Arabidopsis thaliana: one gene and its partners. The protein of the gene in region 3 interacts with the protein of the main gene of each other region in a pairwise test. Each region holds a gene or a part of one and is shown on either strand. Other genes may lie near its edges.

Region 1 (6,014 bases), on a different chromosome or scaffold from region 3:
AAGCACCGATGTAAGAAACTGTCTTCAGATGAAGATAAAGACGGCCATATCGGAAATATCCTTACAGTACGGCGACCTAGAGACGCGTGGTGCGATTCCATGGTATGATTCCTCTCCTCGGAATTTCGAACGTCGATTTAACGGTGAGGAAATCGCCGGCGACAAAAATGGAATATATCTATATTTGGGCTTATAGGAGTGTTAAATAGGCCCATGGACATATATAACTCTCTGACCTTGAAAGCGAGCCCAGTTTTTCAATTTCAAAAAGAAAAAAAAAATTGAATAAAAGTTGAAAACAGGATGATAAAAGAAAACCAGTTTCCGACAAAAAAAAAAAAAAAAAAAAAAAACCAGTTTATGCAATTGCAAAGACATTTAAAAGAAAAAAAAACGAGAATGTTCAAAAAAATCGTTAGGCGATAGCTAGGAGTTCGATTCTAAAAAAGTTACCAAAGTTTGGCGGTTGGAAACGGTTGGAAGTTATCAAAGCTTGAATCATCATTTTGATTTCTAAGTACTTTAAACAATGTTCAGTCTTAATGATCGACATCTTCTAATATGTCACATGATAAAGTGTGAACCATACCCGTTTGATGAAGAGTTATATAAACATGTTTTATAGATTATGTTGGCAAAAAAAAAAAAAAAACGTTTTACATAATAAGAAAAAAATGTTATAATATTGAATCCTCCCAATTAACCTTTGAAGTATTCTATACCGATTGTTTGCCTTGTTTAGTTACAAAATACACTTGAAAACAAATTCCTTAGTAAATATTTGGTTCTTTTCCTATTCTTAAAGATATCAGTCTAACATTTCTAATATTCCTATAAACATCGTCCTATATATAACAAAAAATAAATTTAAAAAGGTAAGATTTTGTTATGATCAACTGATTCTATTAAATTTAAAATTAAATTGAACTCAAGTCTTTCACATTTCACGGCTTTTTACCATTTTCACTACTGGTGAAAATCTTTGTAGATCTAAACCGCGATTCAACACAGTGACTGACATAACCCATAGTCAAGCTAAATTAAAAACCCTTCGTTGTCTTACACCGAAGAGCAAAAAAGGTTAAAAGAAAAAGCCCAAAAGTCGATGACTCAGGACAAAAAACAACAAACATTACGAGAGAGACAAATACAACTACGTGTCTCGTCGTAGATCAACCACCACAACACTTACGTTGTCCGAACTTTGTCTAGCCAACGCAAGCCTCGTCAGCAACAGCGACGCCTCCTCACACGCTTTATCTGGCAAATCTCCTCCTCCAACCACCACATTCCCGGCGCCGACACCTGTCATTTCCCTTTCCGGTGATGATGATACTTGACCATTGACTTTTCCTCTCAAACACATTCGAACGACGCTACATGCAGTTTCGTTTGAAACAACGTCCCAAAGACCGTCACTTGCGAGAATAAGAAAATCGTCTCCGTTGGCCCGGTCCGTCACGGTTACCTCCGGTCTGCTGATTACATACGGCTTCAAGTAATTATCTCCTGAAAAAAAAAAAAAAAATCCGCGGCGAAACGAGAGTTAATAATCATCATTATTGAAAGTACGGAAAAACTTTGTACAAACATTAGGATAGGGACAAGAGTGTTTTCGTCAAGTGTAATCAATTAACTGACCAATGGCTCGTGACATTGCAAGTACTCCAAGGACACGTGGGCCATCCCAGTAGATAACACGACCACCCGCTGCTTGAATCCGGTCTAGCTCGTCCGGACGGTCTGGCTGTTACAACAAATTTAAACAAGAGAGAGAGAGAGAATGATATAGTCATTGATAACAGTGACACGAAGGATTAAAGAATCTTAAAACTCATAAACTTTATCAGATCCTCTATCTAAAAAGTAAAAAGTCATTAAACATTCTTAATCGTCGTCCAGGTGTTGCATGCACATTAAAGAAGATTCTAATTTCCAATAAATGAAATAATAAATAAAAAATGCATTAAACAATATTAATAGGTAAGTTTCGAACGCAACACGTAACGAAATTCTCGTTTCATTACAGTGAGTAAACCATAACCGTAGATCTAACGGATAAACATTTAACGATGGATAAACGAAACAAGAGAGATTATCAAAAAACGAACAAAACCTTATGATCGGAGGATAAAGCAATGGCTTTGCCGTTACGACAGAGAACGGCACGTGAGTCACCGCAATTCGCCACGATGATTTTCTCCGGCGTAAGGACAGACACAACCGCAGTGGATCCCACCGCGTCGCAGTCCGGCCTCTGAAGCTCGCACCGGCATTTTGCCGCACCATCGGCGTTCAACGCAACAACCTCCATGTCCATGCGCGTGAAGCTACGCGCCATTGACTTTTCCCAGTCAGCATCAGCTTCAAACTCTTCACGGACTAGCTCGTGTAGTCTTTCTCTACATTTCATCGCTACCTAAACATCATATTATTAAAATTAAAAACCGACGTCGTAACGGTCAATTAAAGGATAATTTTTATAATAAAACGACGTCGTACATGGGAACAGCCATGGCCATCGTAAACGCCGCAATAGTGAAATCCGGTGGATGAATATTCCGTCTGATGACGGGAAAAAAACGGATGCACAGCGACGGCGTCTTCCATTTCACGTCTTCTTCCACAGACTGAAGCGACGCCGTATTTAGGATAAGCTTCAGGATCAGGCAATGCCACAACCGTTGAACTAAGAGACTCGCATAGGACGACAACTTCCTTCGCCGTTTCGTAAAACACGGTGGAGGTGGAGGCTGCGACGGTGGATTCTCTTCTCCTCCGCCTCTGTAAGTCACCGTCGACGAAGACAGGTTCTTGTTCGCCGGAAACAAACTTAAACCTCCGGATCTCCATTCTCCTTCTTCTCGCTGCTTGAGACGAGCTCCGTTCTCGTCTCCTCGTTGTCGTCGTTGCCTTCTTCACCACCGTCGCCGTCGTTTCAATCATCATAGTCTCGTTCTCGTAACAAATCTCAGCCATGTGATCGTCAAAACTATTCAACAAACACACTCCATCACTCTCCCCCGAAAAAAAACTAGTGAACGAGACACAGGAGAGAGAAGAAGAAGAGAAGCTTAAACAAGATTAGCCATGGAAGCTTTATATTAGCTTCTTTCACCAGAAGATATAAATAAATATAATCATCTTTATATTTACGGGCAGATGACCGAGACTTTTGAACGGGCAGATCAAAACTCAAAATCAAAATGAAGGAATGAAGAAGAGGAGATTGTTGAATGGCGTGACGTATCGCTCCTCTATCTGGACGACGAAATCTTGACCGTTGATTGTGTCCACGTGTAAAACGTACTTCTCCTAAATCGCGATACGAAACACTTACGTGCACCAATCAAAGTCTAACACTACTCAGACCTAAAGTGAAAAAGAACCTTTGATGACACGCATGCGATCTCTAAACCTCTTTTTTTTTTTTTAAGATTTTTACCAAGTTTTGTTGTGGAAATTTACCTTACCATTTTAATTTGTTTTACTATAAATACAACTAATTACGTCATCACTTTCATCACAACTTACTATTACATATGGAAATCAACCAATAGTTTGTTTTTCTTTCAATCATTTAATATAACATGAGATCTCTTAACCTCTTATTTTATAGATTCTTACCATATTTTGTTGTGTAAATTTATTACCACTTCCATTTGTTTTACTATAAACTATCACTAATTACGTCATCACTGCTAATCAATTCAATAGAAAGGTTGGAAACAAATAATCTTTTTATCTGAGTGAAAACTAAGATGGTGTTTTAGGCTTTTAGCTGGTGATGACGATTCATCGCGTTTGTTTCATTGTGAGCGTGACAATACGGTATATATCATCGTTTCTAAAGTTTGGTGTGTTCAAGGACAAATTATTATAGAAAAAATTGACCATCTGCGACTACGAAACATAAGAGAAAAATGTGATAATTGTAGAATATGTCACTACAAATATAACCTTGGTGCGTGAATACTTCTTAGAAACAATTTGAGACTGCATATGCTTTTTTTTTTAATTAGAACAATTTCTTATTTGCTAGAAAAGTAAGTTCAAATTTGTGAGTTATCATTTCAACACTTGTTTTGTTTCGTTTGTTTTACTTGTCTGGTCTATTAGTTTTGTTCTGCATTTGTTCCATTTGTTTCATCCCTTTTTTTATGCTGCAAGTGCAAACAGTCAGAGTTTTCAAATAAATATATTTAAGAGATTTTATATGGGCCGGGGAACTAATATTCAAAGATTTTAAAGGATATCTTACCTAGTTTTACAATTGAGATGATGAAAATGAATTTGAAAACTTATTCATGGTTTTAATCTTGACAAGTGTCCGGAATATTCAATGATTTATAATCGTGCAATCTTATGACTTATCAGACAGTTCTAAACTAATTTTACATCTATTTTTAAAATATCACCATCTTATGTTTGACATTACAATTTTCTTAGTTGATAAGTAGCATTTTGTGAATACAATAAAAGTGAACATCATTCTCCAATGTTTGACACAATATTGGGTTTTTGGGAATTTAAAATAAAAGCAACTGAAAAACAGAAATGATCATACGTTCTACATTGGACAATGGACATGTTAAATTCGAGTGAACTATATATTATACACTTATAATTTTCTTTTGTGGGCAAAAATTATAAGATATTCAATCAACAATTAGAAATAAACAAAATATAACGTTTTCAATTCTAAATCAATCAGGAATGACATCCAATGAGATACAAGTACGTAGATGGGTTTTGGTGGAAACTGGGGACCACTTCTCTATTACTAACATTTAACAACGTTGACCCCTCTCTGACCTGTTTTCTTCCTCGATGTTCGACACGTGTTTACATTCTCTACTTTTATGTCTTGACCAAGATTTTTTCTGTGTCAACATTCGTTTACTATGCATTAAGTAGGATCGAGAGTTGTAATTTGGGCTTTAACTGTTACTTACGTTACGCCGATGAATCTTATGTTTATGTAATGTGATGATGATATTTTAGTTAGTTAGTATTAATACAAAAATAATTCATAACCTAACTAAAATTAAGGAAAGAAAGAGAGAAGCTCAGCTTTTCGCGGAAAATTCTCTGGGACGTGGCGGCAAGCAATAGGATGATGATTTGAATTATGTGAGTCCCACATCACAGAACAAAACAAAATCAAAAGGTTGAAAAAAAACGAAGCGCGTGTGTAACACATGACACGTGTCCTCTGAAGCTGCATAGCAGTTGCCAGGTTTTTGAAGTTGACAGTAGGCAAATACATTGTGCCACGTGAAAGCTTCATCTTTCTTTCAAATATTATTATTATTAAAATTTAACCTGAAAACAAATTCGTCATCGACCAACAAGTCACTAACCATCACTTTCAAATCTTATGTAAAAATATAAGGTGAAAATTAGTTCCATTAAAATCTATGTTACTTTTGTTGTTTGTTTAGTGATTTCAATATATATATATAAATGTTGGTTAACTATATCATTTGATACTTGATAGGAATACGAAAAAATAAAATTATAACTGAAACATGGTTAGTTACTTTAGTAGGTGGTTGGAGAGCTTTCGGTAAGGAGACAATATATTGTCCTAGCTAGTTTGATTAATTATCTCGTCTTTGTTTTGTAACTTTGAATTGAAATCTTACCAATTTGTCGTTGGAATTTCCACATCACACATGATTAGTTATATACATTAATACAAAATGCTTTTCTTGATAATGAACAATGCCCGATCTCATACATTTTTCAAACTCGATGTTGAGTTATGTGTTTAATGGATTCTCCTGTTTAAATTTATTTCAAAACCATGCGCCAAACTCAACATCTAGTTTGAAAAACACAAACTTTAAACTCAAAACACAAATATTTTTCCTATTCCTAACCACTAGTCTGTAAAAGCTTAATGTTCCAATCTAAACGTAAGTTGTTTGAAAGAAAGTTCGGCAATTACGAGGAACCAATGAGGTGTCACCATTGTCCACAAGACATAAATAAGGTTTAACTCTAAAGTC
Region 2 (4,416 bases), on a different chromosome or scaffold from region 3:
CAGCAACCATCACTTCATCACCATCTCCCGATTTCACACCGTTTTTCAAAACACATAACCTTGATCTCCCGATTGATGATCCGGAGAGTTACAATTTCTCGCCGGATATGTTGAACGACGTCGTTGTAGCTGGGTTTGTTCTGTTTTTCCCGAATTACTCTAGCTTTTTGTCCAAGCCTGGTTTTTACATTGAGGATATATTTGTGAGAGAGCCTTATAGGAGGAAAGGGTTTGGTAGCATGTTGTTGACTGCTGTGGCCAAACAAGCGGTGAAGATGGGTTATGGAAGAGTGGAATGGGTTGTTCTTGATTGGAATGTTAATGCTATCAAGTTTTATGAGCAGATGGGTGCTCAGATTCTGCAGGAGTGGAGAGTTTGTAGACTTACTGGTGATGCTCTTGAAGCTTTTGATCAGGTCAACATCTAGAGATTGATGCTGTGTTGCTGAGAGTTATCGAATCAGATCACTTCCTCTTGCTTTTAAAGTTTGTGTTTTTTTTCCTTCTTCTTGTTGTTACTTTATGCAAGTGTTGGCATTGATGATGATGATGATGATGAATTCTCTATGCTTACTTGTTGGATACTGAATGAGAAAAAAGAACCCTTTTGTTGAATGTATGAAATGTTTCGAGTTTTTAAAGTAAGAGTTATGTATTTGTGTGATTCCTCGTCATATTTGCTTGACCAAAGTATTTGTTCTGTGTTATGGATTTGAAGAATTGGTTTTGTGATCCTAGAGGACAGTGAATTGGAGAGTACAGATAAATTGGTCAAATGAAGAAATTGTGATCAAATGTAGAATGGTTAAGTTGCTTGCGAGGCACACACAAGTCTAATTGCAAACTATATAGGTTAAGCCTTCTTGCTTCAGTTACTATAGAAGACAATAAAAACTAAGTTTTAGTAGTCTCTGACTCTCTGTCTTGTTGTATAGAGAATTAAGAAACCGTGAGCATGAAACAAAAATTCATCTATTTTTATTACTACAACAAAACATTCCGCTTTTGTGTTAACATAGAGAACAAAAGACCCCATTTTACGAAAATGATTCTACTCTTATAAATGGGCTTAAGTGGGTTGTAAAATTTGTAGAAGAATGCACAAACACTTCAACATCTCTAGTTGTCCTACTGGCTTTAAAGAACATCTCTTTGATTGAGATTAATTCACTTGCAATTTATCGGTAAAACTTTAAAACTGAACCAAAAGTAAAAAAGAGTGAGACTAGTTTTTTGTTTGTTAAACATGAAACTGGACATAAAACTGGACAGATACATTCTACTAATATCATGCATTCCGTTAAGTATTTTGAACAAAAAATCTCATCTTTGGAAGAGTATATTATGAAAAATATTTGGATTTACACTCAAAATCATATTCATTTATTAACAATTAAAACTATAAAAAGACATAAGCTAAAGAATTAAAGTAGTAAAAAATTGATAGTTTTATTTCCTTTCCTTTATTATCAACAACATTGAAGTTATCGTCGTGATTACAGAATCCAAAATTGGAAAGAAATGGCAGGATACATATTTGATTTTTGTTGTCGACAAATTTGGACTAAGAGACGTAACAAATCTTGCCAGCTACATGTAGAACGCACCTGTTAATACTGTAAACAATGTCGGCTAACTATTTTGTGCTAACGACAATAAATATCAAAGTAGTACGTGTAGCGTCTAGCTTCTTCTATGAGATAAAACGACGATGGGAGTGTCATTATTTTTCACTCATTTCTTGTATTTTTCTTTGGAACCAAAATGTCTTTTTCCATGATTTAACGACATGTGCTTCACGTTTCTTCATATGTCTTTTTACCGACTTCAACAAATGGTGATGGTATTTATCGAAATTCATCAATTTCTTCCTAAATTAAATTGGTAAAAATACCAATTGTCGAACTCACTCACGAAGATTGGACTGTAAACGGTATAGATGACCGTATTTGCTTCGTGGTATGGTCGTGCGTTGTCTCAAATCGCAAAAGAGCCAAATTATGTTTAAAAAATTCAATGCCATATTAGAAACCTTAATCTTCTCTAATGAATTTGTACGACGTAATATAGAATGAGAGGTTCAAATTATTAAGAAGGAAGTTTAAAAGACTTAGAACCGTTTGCAAAGTTTTGGGAGAGATGATCGGTGACCTATACAATGAGATAATAGAGATTGAGGGATTGAAAATTGAGGGACGCAACCATTACACTGATACGTTGAGTTGATATGGTGATAATTGTTTTTATGTTCAAAAACTTACATAAGTAGATAATGTGGAGTCTCTTTGATTTCTTAACCTGAACGAAAAACCAAAAAGGAGAAGAGAGTGATCACCTAATTTAACGTGTAAAACATGACATTTTCCAAGAAGAGGGATCGATCTAAAAGTCAAAAAAAGGATGAGATAGCGTTTTAGTTTATCATATGTGGCATAGTTAGATTGGCTTGTAAAATAATTTCTAATCCTAAACATGATAGATAGCAGCCTTAGAAGCAAGTAACATCAAATTTTTATAGTATATATATATGGATTCTCGAAACCCTAATCTTCACATCACTATCTTCAAAAACAAGTAACAGAAAAATGGCGCCTCCAACCGCAGCACCAGAGCCAAACACTGTGCCAGAGACTTCACCGACCGGCCACCGTATGTTTTCCCGGATCCGCCTCGCTACGCCGACCGATGTCCCTTTCATTCACAAGCTAATCCACCAGATGGCGGTTTTTGAGCGCCTCACGCATCTCTTTGTCGCCACCGAGTCTGGTCTTGCCTCCACGCTCTTCAACTCCCGTCCGTTCCAAGCCGTCACCGTCTTCCTCTTGGAAATCTCCCCTTCCCCATTTCCCACCACTCATGACGCTTCGTCCCCTGATTTCACCCCCTTTCTTGAGACGCATAAGGTTGATCTCCCTATCGAGGATCCGGACAGAGAAAAGTTCTTGCCGGATAAGCTCAACGACGTGGTGGTGGCTGGATTCGTTCTGTTCTTCCCGAACTACCCAAGTTTTCTAGCGAAACAGGGTTTCTACATCGAGGATATCTTCATGAGAGAACCTTACAGACGAAAAGGCTTCGGAAAACTGCTACTGACCGCTGTGGCAAAGCAAGCAGTGAAGTTGGGTGTCGGAAGAGTGGAGTGGATTGTGATCGATTGGAATGTGAATGCTATCAACTTCTATGAGCAGATGGGTGCGCAGGTTTTTAAGGAATGGAGACTTTGTAGGCTCACTGGCGATGCACTTCAAGCTATTGACAAGCTAAACATCTAGCAGCATGATGATTTGCATGAGACCCATCGAGCGATCGGTCCTTTAAAGTTTGTTTCTCACTTGTTTTTAATTTGTTGAATAAAACATCTCAAGTTTAAGATAAAGATGTATTTGTGATTATGGTTACAAAAGTATCTTCTGTGTTTTCGGATTTGAATAAAATGGAGATTTCTTCAAACTATTTATAAGCCATGTTTAAAAGAAGTTTTCAAGGTGTATTTAATGTGAATAAATAAAATTTTTAAATTATTGACCTCAATTTATATAGAGACTGCACTGTTTTTTTTTTAACCGGACAGCGTTCTACTTACACATGCTAAAGTACGGGCCTTGTCAAAAAGACATAGAAGTGGTAATTAAACAGATAAATTGGAAACATACAATTCCACTTAAATATATATATGGATCATTAAAATCTTAGTATTGTAATAAAATTAAGAAAAACATATCTCAAATGATGATTACATGATAATCAAATTTATACGGTATTAAGATAAAAAAAAAAGTGAAAATTTATCAGTTGACGAGGCGACAATTTTTACGAATCTCACCACCTTGATCTCCAAGAGTAAGGACTTTGATGGAACTCATCTTTATCATGGACCGACCAAACTGAGCAAGAAAAGCGCCGGAGTTTTGGAAAACACTAGCAATGTGAGCGGCGGAGGGATCAGTCAACAAGGCGGCGTCGGAGGTGAAGAGTCCTTTGTTCTTGAGTAGAGAGACGAAGTAGCCACTGTCAAAGGCGAGAGGACCAGTAGGGTCCATTCCGACCACTGCGGAAGGGTTGAGTCTTAAAGATTTGTCGGAGCATTCGGATTTGAGGAAGGAGGCGTAACTAGGGTTTAGGGAAGGATCTGTGTCCCCTTTTCCGGTGAAGTTCAAGAGCCTTCTGCCAAACACACCGCAATGTGCTATTCCTATCGTGTGTGCTCCTATTTTTCATACAATTTCGTTTCTTTTTAATATATAATCGAAAAATTAGGTGATTAAATGAATGATTTATATGAAAATATTAGTGTATCATTCCTAAGAAGATTAATTGACTTTTGAATAATTATCACGTGCAACGCCTTTTCCAAGATTATCCTCAAATATTTGATGGTATATATACGATCGGATATTATACTTTTTCTTGAAGATT
Region 3 (4,544 bases):
AAAGCAATCACCACGTCATCTTCTCATCAACTTGGCTTTCTTAATGGTGCCAAATGGCAATGAGTCAGTGGTTGATCTTGACAACTTTGATTGCTACTTGTCTGAAATGTCTACAGATCTGATTCATTACATTGTATACCAAAACTTTCGTCCATTTCCTTGTTGAAATAAGTCGATGTAAGTCATTCTATTCAAATATTTTTTTTCATGAAGTAATTTTCTGGTTTTAAAGCAAAGTAATAGATTATTTATAATTTTTTTAATTTTAATGGCTTAAGGCTAAAGTGACGTTGGATCGATGAAGCCGCCATAGTTCACAAATGGCCGAATTTAATTTGTTGTTTGTATTTAATAAGTCAAAAGAGATTTCCGAGAAGCAAGGTGAACGTAACCTTAAACTAATCATTAGAACATTAATTATATAAGTTGCGTTTATCATTAATATTGTTGCTTAAAATTACAAACTTTCAAAATCCCATGGTTAAGATAATTAGTGTTTCAGAGCCTAAGACGGAACGGAACTTGTGTAATTTTGTAAGAATAAACATATTAACTTCGTGTCTAAAAAAAAACATACTACACTGACTTCGTTTTCTAATAAGTAATTGTTGTAGAATTTTAATTTATTTCTGTTTATGTAAACTGTTATTTTGTATGTTTAATGCATATATTTTAGACAAGATACTTCTATCCATAATAGTTAGCTTATTAATAGAGGTATAATAATCTTTTTAGATTTCATATTATATTTAGTACTATTGGTTTTAGAAAAATGGAAAAAGGTCAAATAAATAATAGGAACACCACTGGTTTATATTTCTTTTCTGGATTGTGTATACTTTTTAGAAGAAAACTAAAACGGCATGTTGAAAAGGAAACCAAGAGGATAGTAATTAGGTCAGATTACTTGTTTAGTTACAAGAAAGTCAAGAAATCTCATAATTGAGTTTAAAACTTTAAACATTTGCATGGAAGTCAATAAATCTATAATCCTTACTCGTGATCATCTTATTGTTTCCGTGTAACGAAATTAAACGCGTAAAACATCGCGTAAACTATAGTACGGTATGTGATATGCAAATATATCTTAATTTATTTTTTATTTTTTATTTTTCTTGGGCAATGAATTGAAGAGTTGCAAAATTATTTGCCAGCTTACCACATGCGGCCACAATTTTAACCATGATTAATCTTCTTTTGGAATTTAGCGAGATAAATCAAGAGTAGGTTTATTTTAGAACATAGTATATAATACACTAATGAAAAGTCTCGTTAAAACGTGTTTCACGTAACCGACCTCTAAAGTATGGCGTGCGAGTAACGACAAATGAAATCTCAAATGAAAATGGAGATTATTTTAATCTTAATTATAACACACTAATTAACACCCGTCAAACATCCTGATATGTGAACGTGGAATCTCGTTACACAATCGAATAAAATTATTGCTTAATACGATCCGTCTTTCTCTCTCTTTCGTAATGATTATCTATCAATATTATCTTGACTAATAAAAGTATCGCAAGGCCTTGGCAGTCACATGTTAAATGATGATATACGTTGTTGCATGTTAAAACATAGTACAACGATCATCTAGGCTGCTGCTAAATTCTATTTTCAAAAATGCCTTTTATATGCAAGAAAAGCAAAATAATCGAGTTTTTTTTTTTGTTTCATTATAAACTGCTTCATTTTTCTTAGGAACGGCCAAACTGTTAAAAAGTAAAATATGTATGGTGATTAATTGATGTAACCAAAGCCAGTTCGCCCGTTTGATTGTCAACCCACGTTATCATTCACTTGATCACTTCCATGAAACATATAAAAGCTGATAATACTTATATTATAAAGGAAAAAAAGTATGAAAATATTATCAGTAGTTAGATGATTAGTTCACATCTAAATGAAATACGACTTAAACTGAAAGAGACATGAGCCAATTCGTGTCGAGCCACAAATTTTGGACGTATATTTTTAGCCCGTGGTTCCACAATATTTGCAGGTCTTTTTATTCAATGAGTTTATTTTGTCTTGGTTGAATAATGAAATTTCCAAATATAAAAAATAATAGAAATCCGAGGCCCTACACAAGCACACATAGTAACTCCCACATTATATATAAGCGGCCAATATCAGCAACTCAGAGATTCCAGAAAGAAAGAAAAAAAAGAAACAAATAATTCCAAAACCTTCTCTCTTAATCAAAATCAAGAAACTTACAAGATCTGGTGAAAACCATGGAAGAAGGAGATTTTTTCAACTGCTGTTTCAGCGAGATTAGTAGTGGCATGACCATGAATAAGAAGAAGATGAAGAAGAGCAATAACCAAAAGAGGTTTAGCGAGGAACAGATCAAGTCACTTGAGCTTATATTTGAGTCTGAGACGAGGCTTGAGCCGAGGAAGAAGGTTCAGGTAGCTAGAGAGCTAGGGCTGCAACCAAGACAAGTGGCTATATGGTTTCAAAACAAGAGGGCTCGATGGAAAACTAAGCAACTTGAGAAAGAGTATAACACTCTTAGAGCCAATTACAACAATTTGGCTTCACAATTTGAAATCATGAAGAAAGAAAAGCAATCTCTGGTCTCTGAGGTACATAATGATTCTATCGATATCTTTATCTTTAATTGAACAGTGATAGAAACAATAATTGATAATGATCTTTTTTTTTTATAAAGTATAAAATAGCAAATACAGTCTTGGCATTTATTGGTTTTTGGGGGATGTAAATTCTCGATCATTTTGCCTAATTTGATATTAATCAATCTCTATTTGCAGCTGCAGAGACTAAACGAAGAGATGCAAAGGCCTAAAGAAGAAAAGCATCATGAGTGTTGTGGTGATCAAGGACTGGCTCTAAGCAGCAGCACAGAGTCGCATAATGGAAAGAGTGAGCCAGAAGGGAGGTTAGACCAAGGGAGTGTTCTATGTAATGATGGTGATTACAACAACAACATTAAAACAGAGTATTTTGGGTTCGAGGAAGAGACTGATCATGAGCTGATGAACATTGTGGAGAAAGCTGATGATAGTTGCTTGACATCTTCTGAGAATTGGGGAGGTTTCAATTCTGATTCTCTCTTAGACCAATCTAGCAGCAATTACCCTAACTGGTGGGAGTTTTGGTCATAAAAGCATATAAGAAAAAAACAGAACATAAGCGAAGAGAAAGAGTGTGAATAGTTTGTAAATTATGTGTTAAGAAAAATAAATTTAGTTTAGTTTAAATCTTGTTTCGATCTATGTATCTACTATGTTCAATACTCTTTGTAGCTAATTAGTAGCTTATAATGAGACTAGAAAAGTTTTGAAGTCACCAAGGTTAAATTTGTGATTGCAAGTTGGCTCTAAGAGTGTTGGACCAAGCGTAATGATCACAAGTACAAGAGTCTTCGTCCATAATGATCTCGAAACGGACTAAAAATTGACCTAAATTTGAAACTAAGTGCATTTATCTCTATATTGGTGCTCTGCTATAATGCTTTCAATATCCTCGAGATGAATTGTCTATGAATTTTATCACCAAATATCAGTTTTGATCACATTCCGGTTCATCAGCTCAGGTTACTCTGTCACTCCCTTCCTATGAGATATTTGTAGCTGGATTGGCAGATATGGAACAACTTCTTGTAGATGCAGAACTAGTTCCTTTTGGTGTTTGTCTTTCCAGTTTATAAGGAACAATCGAGTCATGATAATCTTCCTATGATTGATGTCATGTGGGACATGTGCTTTGTAACCAGACTCTCAACAGAATGTAAAAGAATGGCTCTAAGTCAAGTCTTTATAGTGTCCTTAATCTTGTAGCAACGGTAGCCCCTGGATCATCCCTTCTTCCTTGAGAAATCAAAGCAAACCAATGTTTCTCTTATGGTTCTGTTCTGTATAATATGGGGGTATTTTGGGAATTGAAGTTTTCAACGTCTCTTTCATATGTTTCCTTTTTTAAAGTCCCGCTCCTGTATAAAGCAAACCCTTCGAAATGGGTCGGACAATATGGGCCTTATCACGATGGGCTTTAAAACTCTTATTCATCAAACTAAACCCAACTTAGAAAGAGTTACCCAACAGGGTTTGCATATCACTTCCATTTTACTTTTTATCTTCGAAACAAATCCAAATCTTGGACCAAGAACAATATCTAGATATTGGATACTTTCAGTGAATAAAATATGAAAAACCACTGTTAAATTTCTATACATACACATTTTGACCTGACAAGATCTTTTACTCTCAAAAGAGATAAAGCTTTACTGAGTGAGAATATATTTGTTTTGTACAAATAGAAATCACACAAATATCGCTGGTGAGGAATTTAACCTACTTTGGTAATCAAAAAAGAAAAATATTACATGCACGCATATATATATAAAATTTGTTTTGTTTAACACGGATGTCGATTGATTGGTTATTTCCCTGCTGTGATAAATTCCAAAGTTCAAGATTCTTTTGTGTTATTCTATTTTTTGCTTTTTCTAGTGACAGAGACTGTCAAAAGTTTCCGATTCAACTCCACGATTCGACATGTTGTTTGCTTTATTTGAT

Evidence for each region.
Region 1: the proteins of HB-12 (region 3) and HAI1 interact in a two-hybrid assay, tested with the Arabidopsis thaliana proteins (one large-scale study listed by BioGRID).
Region 2: the proteins of HB-12 (region 3) and NATA1 interact in a two-hybrid assay, tested with the Arabidopsis thaliana proteins (one large-scale study listed by BioGRID).

What each region holds. Positions count from the first base shown.
Region 1 is NC_003076.8:23,893,519-23,899,532, forward strand, and holds HAI1 (PP2C protein (Clade A protein phosphatases type 2C)), read right to left. Parts: upstream 3,422-6,014; 5' UTR 2,980-3,421; coding exon 2,503-2,979; intron 2,420-2,502; coding exon 2,117-2,419; intron 1,748-2,116; coding exon 1,642-1,747; coding exon of another isoform or gene 1,619-1,641; exon of another isoform or gene 1,510-1,618; coding exon 1,154-1,509; 3' UTR 886-1,153; downstream 1-885. Other genes in the region: AT5G59210 (myosin heavy chain-like protein), read right to left, coding at 66-101. UniProt on the Arabidopsis thaliana protein: Acts as a negative regulator of abscisic acid (ABA) signaling for stomatal closure in leaves, and controls water loss during leaf senescence. Activated by the NAC029/NAP transcription factor during ABA signaling in senescing leaves.
Region 2 is NC_003071.7:16,295,675-16,300,090, forward strand, and holds NATA1 (Acyl-CoA N-acyltransferases (NAT) superfamily protein), read left to right. Parts: upstream 1-2,435; 5' UTR 2,436-2,585; coding exon 2,586-3,272; 3' UTR 3,273-3,531; downstream 3,532-4,416. Other genes in the region: AT2G39020 (Acyl-CoA N-acyltransferases (NAT) superfamily protein), read left to right, coding at 1-428; AT2G39040 (Peroxidase superfamily protein), read right to left, coding at 3,789-4,207. UniProt on the Arabidopsis thaliana protein: Acetyltransferase that converts ornithine to N5-acetylornithine, which is likely used in plant defense.
Region 3 is NC_003074.8:22,912,933-22,917,476, reverse strand, and holds HB-12 (homeobox 12), read left to right. Parts: upstream 1-2,083; 5' UTR 2,084-2,237; coding exon 2,238-2,591; intron 2,592-2,777; coding exon 2,778-3,131; 3' UTR 3,132-3,323; downstream 3,324-4,544. UniProt on the Arabidopsis thaliana protein: Probable transcription activator that may act as growth regulators in response to water deficit.